2 linked regions of the Arabidopsis thaliana genome follow. The protein of the gene in region 2 purifies or fractionates together with the protein of the main gene of each other region. This does not show direct contact. Each region holds a gene or a part of one and is shown on either strand. Other genes may lie near its edges.

Region 1 (3,686 bases), on a different chromosome or scaffold from region 2:
AGCACCTCGCCGTTTCGGTACGACTCTTGCAAGAAATACTTGGCAGAGTCGGATTACGACGAACTGTGGGTGGTCCTAAAGAAGCTGGAGCTTAACGACGATTGTGATTTCGAAACCTCTTTCGAGATTTACGAATTCAATCGCGAGACTAACGAATGGACAAAGGTGATGAGCTTGAGAGGAAAAGCTTTGTTCTTGAGCCCTCAAGGTAGATGTATAGCTGTTTTAGCAGGTGAGAGAGGATTTTTCAAAGACAACTCAGTTTATTTCATTGATGGTGATGATCCAAGTGTAGGAGGATCAGGGCCTCAGAATCTGAGCGTTTTTGAATGGGAGAGTAAGCAAATCATGAAAATTTACCAGCCAAGATCTTGGAATTGTCAGATGTTTTGGGTCACACCAACAGACGTTCCTCAGTGATGAATGACTGATGCATTGTAGAATTTGTAGTTTGCATAGTATAGGTTTTGTATTTCAAATTTCAATTCTTTGATACATTACAATTGTCATCATACATTTTGGTTCTTCATCTGTAACATATATATTAAGTTATGATTATTTCAGCATCTATCTTTCTCTCACTACTTTCATTAATCAAATTGAAAGGTAACTTTTTTGAGAATCAACTTTCACATTCTCAATCTTGAAACATTGGCCACAAAAAAAAAAAAAAACCGATAGATTTGAGATTGACAGAATGAGAGCAAAACATACACAAGTATCCAGTGTATACAAAAAACATAAAGAGGCACCAAACACACTGATACCAACATTTCTTATCAAGCGTCTAGGACTAGTTTACTTCCTGGACACCTTTAGAGAGAACTTAAACATAAGCCGCCTACAATATCCAAGCGGATCTTATCGAACTGACGGTAGAAGAGCTTACCATCTTATGAAAGTACTCTCAAGACATGTTGGATGAATCTGTTGCAGGACTCGAATGACTGACAACGAGAGGCGGGCGCAAAGCTTTGTGGTTGGCTTCTGCTTCTTTACGAGCATTGTACATTTCTTCTGTTTCAACAACAACCATCCTTTTAACCTACATAGAGGCAAAACCAACCATCACAATTTTGAAATCTAGGATTTTATGACAAATGAGAATAGATAAAAAGATAAAGGAAGAGAACCTGATCAATCATTCCCCTAATGGATGAATTGTTTGAATGCAAAACAGTACGATGACATCTACGAAGTCCCATAGCTTCAAGTGTTCGTCTGTGAAGCTTCCTTGTTCCAGGGAGACCTCTTACTAAGGTTATGTACAAGCTCTGGCTCCATTCAATAGGCACTTGTGCTTTGAAAGCTCTAAAACCACTCATTCTTTTTTTTTTTTGTCTCCTTTATCACTCAATCTCTCTGTAACCATTAACAAAATCATAATCAAGCAATCACACAGAATTCACCGTAGAAATCAATAGATACAATAAACGAAGACGATTGATAACATGAATCATGAGAGAGTGAATCATCACGAATTGAAACCAAATCAGATCGATCAATTCAGAAGAAAAGAGGAGCTGCATAACGCGAGATTTCAATTAGGTGTTTGAGATAGAAATGGATGGTTTTCGAGTACCTTGAGGAAACAGAGACGGGAGAAGTCCGGTGAAAGAGATCGTCGACGAGTGTAGTCAAGACGGCGAACAGAGCTCGGAAAATCTTTGAGATTCGCGTTTAAGGGTTTTAAGCTTTTAGCGGAACAATGGTTAAACGACAGCGTTTTGTAGATTAGCTTAATTATTTGGGCTTTATCTGGGCCCAATTATTGGCTCCTTTACCTTTTTATAATTTGTTCAAAAATTACTAGATTGGTTTCATTTTTTTTACATCAATCTTTAGATTTATTAATCTTGCAAAAACAATTTATTTCAGAAAGTGTATGATGAACAGTCAAATTCCACTGCTCTCATCACTAGTTCTAACCTCTAAATTGGTAAAAGCTATTTGCTAGGTAGGTGTATTATTTAAGGTTTTTCTACCTTCTATAAGTTCAATAGCTTTAAATCTTGGGGTTGATCAATATTATTACTAATGAGTAATGATGCATTATTAAAAAGAGAAAATTATCAAAGTAAATTATATTTATACAAAAGTAGTAGCTAAATTACATAACTAAAAGAAATCGGTAAACTTACAAATATTGGTAGACAAGAAAAAGAGAGAAAAAGGGCAACCGTTCTTCTATCCATTACTCGATTTATTATACAAAGTACATGAAGCCTATAATATTACATACATGATACATGATGCATATTATTACATACTACTACTTTACAAGTGATATCTAACAAATGCACATACGTTATATTCCTTTAGCCGTGTTGATAGGCAAACCATCATCATCATCCTCAGGTCTCTTCTTATAATTATAGTCTTTCTTATCTAAAAACGCCTCTTTCACCTTCTCCACATCCGCCTCAGAATCACCGGAGACGTTTACCGCCACCGCAGCTCCGTCAAAAGCCTTCTCAACTGTTTGGCTAGCAACACCTTGTCTTGTGAACTCCTCCGCCGTCGAAGAAGCTCTTCCTTCTTCCCTCCCTCCACTCGCACTTCCTCTCTACATATTAAGAAAACATCTCCAAAAATCTTTGTATATATATATAGTTAATCTATTTCATGAAAACGTAGGAATATCAGAATATATACCTTGAGATAAAAAGAGTAAATACATGATGTTGTTATATTAGGCTTGGAGATTGATTTTGGGTTCACATAATTTCTCAACATTTTTTCTTCGGAGGTCTCTTATTTTTGCAGCTTAGATTAGATCAAGTACCATAGATGAATTTTCCTATAGCAGTTAATTGAGACTTTTGATGTCTCATCAACGGAGGTTATGATTATGATGCCACGTGTGTGTGATGCGCCGTCGTAGCCAAAAGATGACATGTTTCCCAGGGTTAGTCACGACGTCATGCAATTTCCTTTGTAGTTAAATCCAATATACGAAGATTTCTATTTCATATTCTACAGTTTCATACATAACTTTACATGATCGATTTGACAAAATCGATGTCCTAATGACATTAACTATAAGTCGAACCGCTGTCGTTTTTCTTGTGGATTTTATTGTGTACATGTATTGAATTCTTATAAACATTTTGATGAGAGAGATTGGGGGTTGGATCAGGATGAGATTATATCAATTATCATTATATAAATATATGTTTTTAATAATATCTTATGATCGAGAGTACATATAGAATAAGAGATCAATCAATTGATGACCGGACTGGAGATGGGAGAATTAGAATAATTGTTGCAGCAACAAAATATTTTAACAGCCCCGTGAATTTTAGCGCTTTCACAATACCCTCCGCCTCTCATCATGCATCTTGTATTGCATCCTATTGTGCTTTTACATCCTTCCGTACATTTATCTGAAATTAGTCCTATACGATTTTATAAATAAAAAATTCATCAACAAAAAATTTATAAGCAAAAATGGTCAGTTTAATATTGAAAACTGTAGTTTTTTAAGAACAATTTTTTTAAAAAAAATATATAATTTGTATAACAAATAAATGTGTTACCAGAAATCATAGGTATGGTGAGGAGAGCAAACACCATCAACGTAAGTAATCGATGAGATGCAACCATTTTGGTTGTTATTTGTTATTCTTTCAAGATGATTCTATACCTGCTTCTCAAAACCTATTAAAAGCGAATTTCAAAGT
Region 2 (4,381 bases):
AGTTTGATCTGTTACATTTTAGTGTGTCTGATTTCTTAGGCAATTCTGAGGACAAGAATCACTGTTATCAAGGCATGACATTTAACTGCTTTTTGTATCACATTGGCAGGAGACTGATAGCGTCAAGGAAACTGTTGTAAGTGCGATTGTGCCGGTTGATGAAGTGGAAGAGAATCGTCAGGTAGAAACATCTCCTTCTCTGGCTGCATCGTCAGACTCATTGACAGTGACGCCATGTCTATCTTTGGATCCTGCAACTGCTTCAACCGCACAAGATTTACCACTGGTTTCAGTTCCAACTAAACAAGAGCAAAGATCAGATTCGCCGGTGGTTAACAGATTGTCGGTTACTCCTGTTCCTAGGACACCGGCTCGTGATGGTTATAATTGGAGAAAATATGGACAGAAGCAGGTTAAGAGTCCCAAGGGCTCACGGAGTTACTACAGGTGTACATACACTGAATGTTGTGCTAAAAAAATTGAATGCTCCAATGATTCAGGCAATGTGGTAGAGATTGTTAACAAAGGTTTACATACTCATGAACCTCCCCGGAAGACTAGCTTCTCCCCGAGAGAGATTAGAGTTACAACAGCTATCCGGCCTGTTTCAGAGGATGATACAGTAGTAGAAGAGCTATCAATTGTTCCTAGCGGTTCAGATCCGTCTGCTTCTACTAAAGAATACATCTGTGAGTCGCAAACACTCGTTGACCGGAAAAGACACTGTGAGAACGAAGCTGTGGAGGAACCAGAGCCAAAACGAAGGCAAGTTTGTAGAATTTTGCATTTCGGTGCTTACTCTTCACTTTGAAAGATGAAATTAATAGACTTTCTTCTCTCTATTTTTCAGACTGAAAAAAGATAACTCACAGAGTTCAGATTCTGTCTCCAAACCTGGAAAGAAAAACAAATTCGTAGTACACGCAGCTGGTGATGTTGGTATCTGTGGTGATGGATACAGGTGGCGTAAATACGGGCAGAAAATGGTGAAAGGAAATCCTCATCCAAGGTCTAGAAAACTAAACGCATGACCCATCTCTTTATCCACATATGACATCTTCTAATACGCATGGTGATTGATTTGTTCTGTTTCAAACATTCAGGAACTACTACCGATGCACTTCAGCGGGATGTCCAGTTCGTAAACACATTGAGACAGCAGTCGAGAACACAAAAGCAGTAATAATCACATACAAAGGAGTACACAACCACGACATGCCGGTGCCTAAGAAACGCCATGGTCCTCCAAGCTCAATGCTCGTAGCTGCAGCCGCTCCAACATCAATGAGAACCAGGACAGACGATCAGGTGAACATTCCGACTTCAAGCCAGTGCTCGGTGGGGCGAGAAAGTGAGAAGCAGAGTAAAGAAGCATTGGACGTTGGTGGAGAGAAAGTGATGGAATCAGCTAGGACTTTGTTGAGCATTGGATTCGAAATCAAGCAATGCTGATTATATGTAGTTTATGAGTTTTATAGAGTTCATCGACTCAATTTTCGCCTCCTTGTTCTTGTTATATAATAATAATAAAAAACCCCATGAAGATTACCAACTAAATACGTTAACATTCGTCTGTGTAATGATGGTATATGTTTATTGTGATATTAAATCGCTAATTTTAGTGAATAGCCTCTGGTTCGTCTAGAGGGTCTTCTGAAACTTGAAAGGGACTAAAAGACGAGAACAAAAACCCTTTCTCTCTACTCTGTGTAAACCCTAGTGTGTTCGTGCTCTCCGATGGCGAGTCTTCGATGCTTTCGTGAGCTGAGCCGCCGCGCTACGACTGTTTTCTCCATCAACCAGACGCGATCGATCTCTTCATTTCATGGGATTGAGTTTTCCGGGACCAGCATTTCTCATGGGACCGTAATTCCGAATCGATCTCTCACTAGGAATTTGCCATGGTACAGTCATTGGTATCGCTCTCAAGATCGTTGTTTCTCTTCGAACACAAAGGATACTGATGAAGATGAAGAAAGCAGTGAAGGAGAGGATGATGATGAGGAGGAGGGGGAAGACTTTGAGGATTCGGCGGATATGGAAGTAGAAAGGGAATATTCACCGGCGGAGAAAGTGGAAGAGGCGGAGGAGATAGGGTACAAGGTGATGGGTCCTCTTAAACCTTCGGAGAGACTTTTCAAACCCTATGAACCAGTGTTTGCCATTGTTCAGGTCTCGTCTCTGTGCTATCTCAATTAATCCTTTAGTTTCATTTCTCACTCTCACTGATGCTGAGTGGTTATTTTTATCCTGTAGATTGGTTCGCATCAGTTTAAAGTTAGCAATGGGGACTCCATTTTCACCGAGAAGTTGAAATTCTGTGACATCAATGATAAGGTATGCTAGCTTCAAGCTCTTCTTCGTTAATCTTTGCTATTCTTCTCTCAAAGGGCTAGACTTTACCGTATCTCTCGTAAGAAGGACGAACCTTTGCATTTGTGTTTATGATTTATGATTGTTGCTAAAACCTTTCTCTTTATGTCCCTTTGCAGTTGGAACTAACCAAGGTTCTTCTATTGGGCTCGGCAAGCCAGACGATTATTGGTAGGCCTATTTTGCCAGATGCGACAGTTCATGCTGTAGTTGAAGAGCATGTAAGTGTCTCATTGACTTGCTTGGTGTTTTATAATACTAGTGAAGCTGTGCTTAAGAATAATTTACAATTGAAAAGAGGATAGATGAGAGTTTGCTTGCTGAATCCGGTGACTGAGAGAAACTAAATCAAACTGTCTGCTGATTAGTTTGTGAAAGTCTTGCAAGTCATTAGATTAGTGTTCATCTATCTCTACATCATCTGAATGTCTTGATTTAAGATGGGCTTGGAATGTAGAAGGATCTACTCATGTACCAGCATTACTCAACTAGTTTTTCCTTGATGCGTGACAGGCTTTGGATGAAAAAGTGCTCATTTTCAAAAAGAAACGAAGAAAGAATTATAGGAGAACGAGAGGACATCGACAGGTATACTTTATAACTCCTTGTTTAGATAGACAGTGTGTTTATTTCATCTTTGCCTTCTTCTAGTTCTTTCCACTGTGTTATGATTGTTGTTTTTGACCATTCAACACTTGTGTCCAGGAATTGACGAAGTTGAGAATAACCGATATACAAGGAATTGAAAAACCAGAACCGAAGATCGTCCATAAGCCTTCGAAAGAAGCTGTTACAGAACAGACGAAGGCTGAGCTAGTTGCTTAGAGATAAAATTTGCTTCTTTCTTTTTTGCTGATGCCGATACATTTGAAGTAAGTTAAATTATCACTTGCTGTTCACTAAGAACTAGATTTTAAAGTCGTTGAAATGATGAAAAGGCCTTCTTGGTAGTTAGTGGTAAGTAACTAGGCTCCTGAGATATGAAATGTGATTTGCCTTTCACTGTCTTGTTCTCCTTGCTCTTCATTTTGTATTTAAACTGGCTCATGCTTGTGGGAGCTGTTTGTTGCTTCTGTTTCAGAAATAAAGATTTGCGGAAACATCTCTCTCCTTATCTTCTCTATGCTTTGTACTTTGTACTGTACTACTGTGGTTTGGTTATGGTTTAATTTACTTCTTCATGCAAGTCTCGGTCACAGATATGAAACTGGTGGTAAATTGGTAATAACTGCAAGTCACATTACACTCAAAATCTCGATTTTTTCCACTATGACTCTTTAGATCAGGTGATTATTATTGTAACTATATATGGCAACCACTTCCTCATCAACAAATGATTCACAGAATTGATAGTACTTGGAACTGATTTATAATTTCTTTTATCAACATCGGAAAATCGTGTAAGAATGCCTTGAAATATTTGAATGTTTGTAAATAGTATCAAAACCATTGTTTGTATAAATATGTATAAAGAACTTAAACAAAAGCAATTTGGAGCCAAAGAGAATTATAAAGCTACACGAGTACGTAAGTCCATGGTTAAGATCGGGTCGGGTGGGGACGGGTTGGATAAAAGCAAACAATGAGTCAAGTAAAAGAAGAATCATCGTCAACAAGAGAGAGAGAGAGATAAGCACAAACGCGGCTTTTCTTCTCCTTATAAATAAGAGAAGCTCAGTGCGTTACTCAAATGGCCGTCACTTTGGTAACGTCCTTCGCTTCTTCGTCTTCTCGCTTCCATTTCCGCTCATTCTCCTCTTCTCCGTCGTCTCTCTCCTCTTGTTTCGTCCGATTCCAGTTCCCCTCTCGCCTTAGACTCGCTTTTGCCGTCACGCCTCTCTACTCTTCTTCTAGAGCCATGGCTCATACAATCTCACACGCTACTCTCGGCCTCACTCAGGCTAACTCCGTCGATCATCCTAAGGTTTGTTCCTGATCGCTTGCAGCATTATTCGATTTTGCTGTTATGTGTTTAAACTCGATACTAGTGAATGCTTTGTAGATTCGT

The links.
Region 1: the proteins of NFD1 (region 2) and AT5G55140 fractionate together in Arabidopsis thaliana (co-fractionation; one large-scale study listed by BioGRID). This does not show direct contact.

What each region holds. Positions count from the first base shown.
Region 1 is NC_003076.8:22,379,009-22,382,694, reverse strand, and holds AT5G55140 (ribosomal protein L30 family protein), read right to left. Parts: upstream 1,700-3,686; 5' UTR 1,583-1,699; intron 1,363-1,582; 5' UTR 1,326-1,362; coding exon 1,134-1,325; intron 1,046-1,133; coding exon 908-1,045; 3' UTR 501-907; downstream 1-500. Other genes in the region: AT5G55150 (F-box SKIP23-like protein (DUF295)), read left to right, coding at 1-420; AT5G55135 (uncharacterized protein), read right to left, coding at 2,309-2,566, 2,656-2,736; AT5G55132 (Defensin-like (DEFL) family protein), read right to left, coding at 3,226-3,401, 3,543-3,609.
Region 2 is NC_003075.7:15,048,987-15,053,367, reverse strand, and holds NFD1 (Ribosomal protein L21), read left to right. Parts: upstream 1-1,616; 5' UTR 1,617-1,737; coding exon 1,738-2,172; intron 2,173-2,256; coding exon 2,257-2,337; intron 2,338-2,492; coding exon 2,493-2,594; intron 2,595-2,886; coding exon 2,887-2,961; intron 2,962-3,078; coding exon 3,079-3,198; 3' UTR 3,199-3,557; downstream 3,558-4,381. Other genes in the region: WRKY32 (WRKY DNA-binding protein 32), read left to right, coding at 110-765, 851-1,009, 1,104-1,452; LAP2 (Cytosol aminopeptidase family protein), read left to right, coding at 4,064-4,297. UniProt on the Arabidopsis thaliana protein: This protein binds to 23S ribosomal RNA in the presence of protein L20.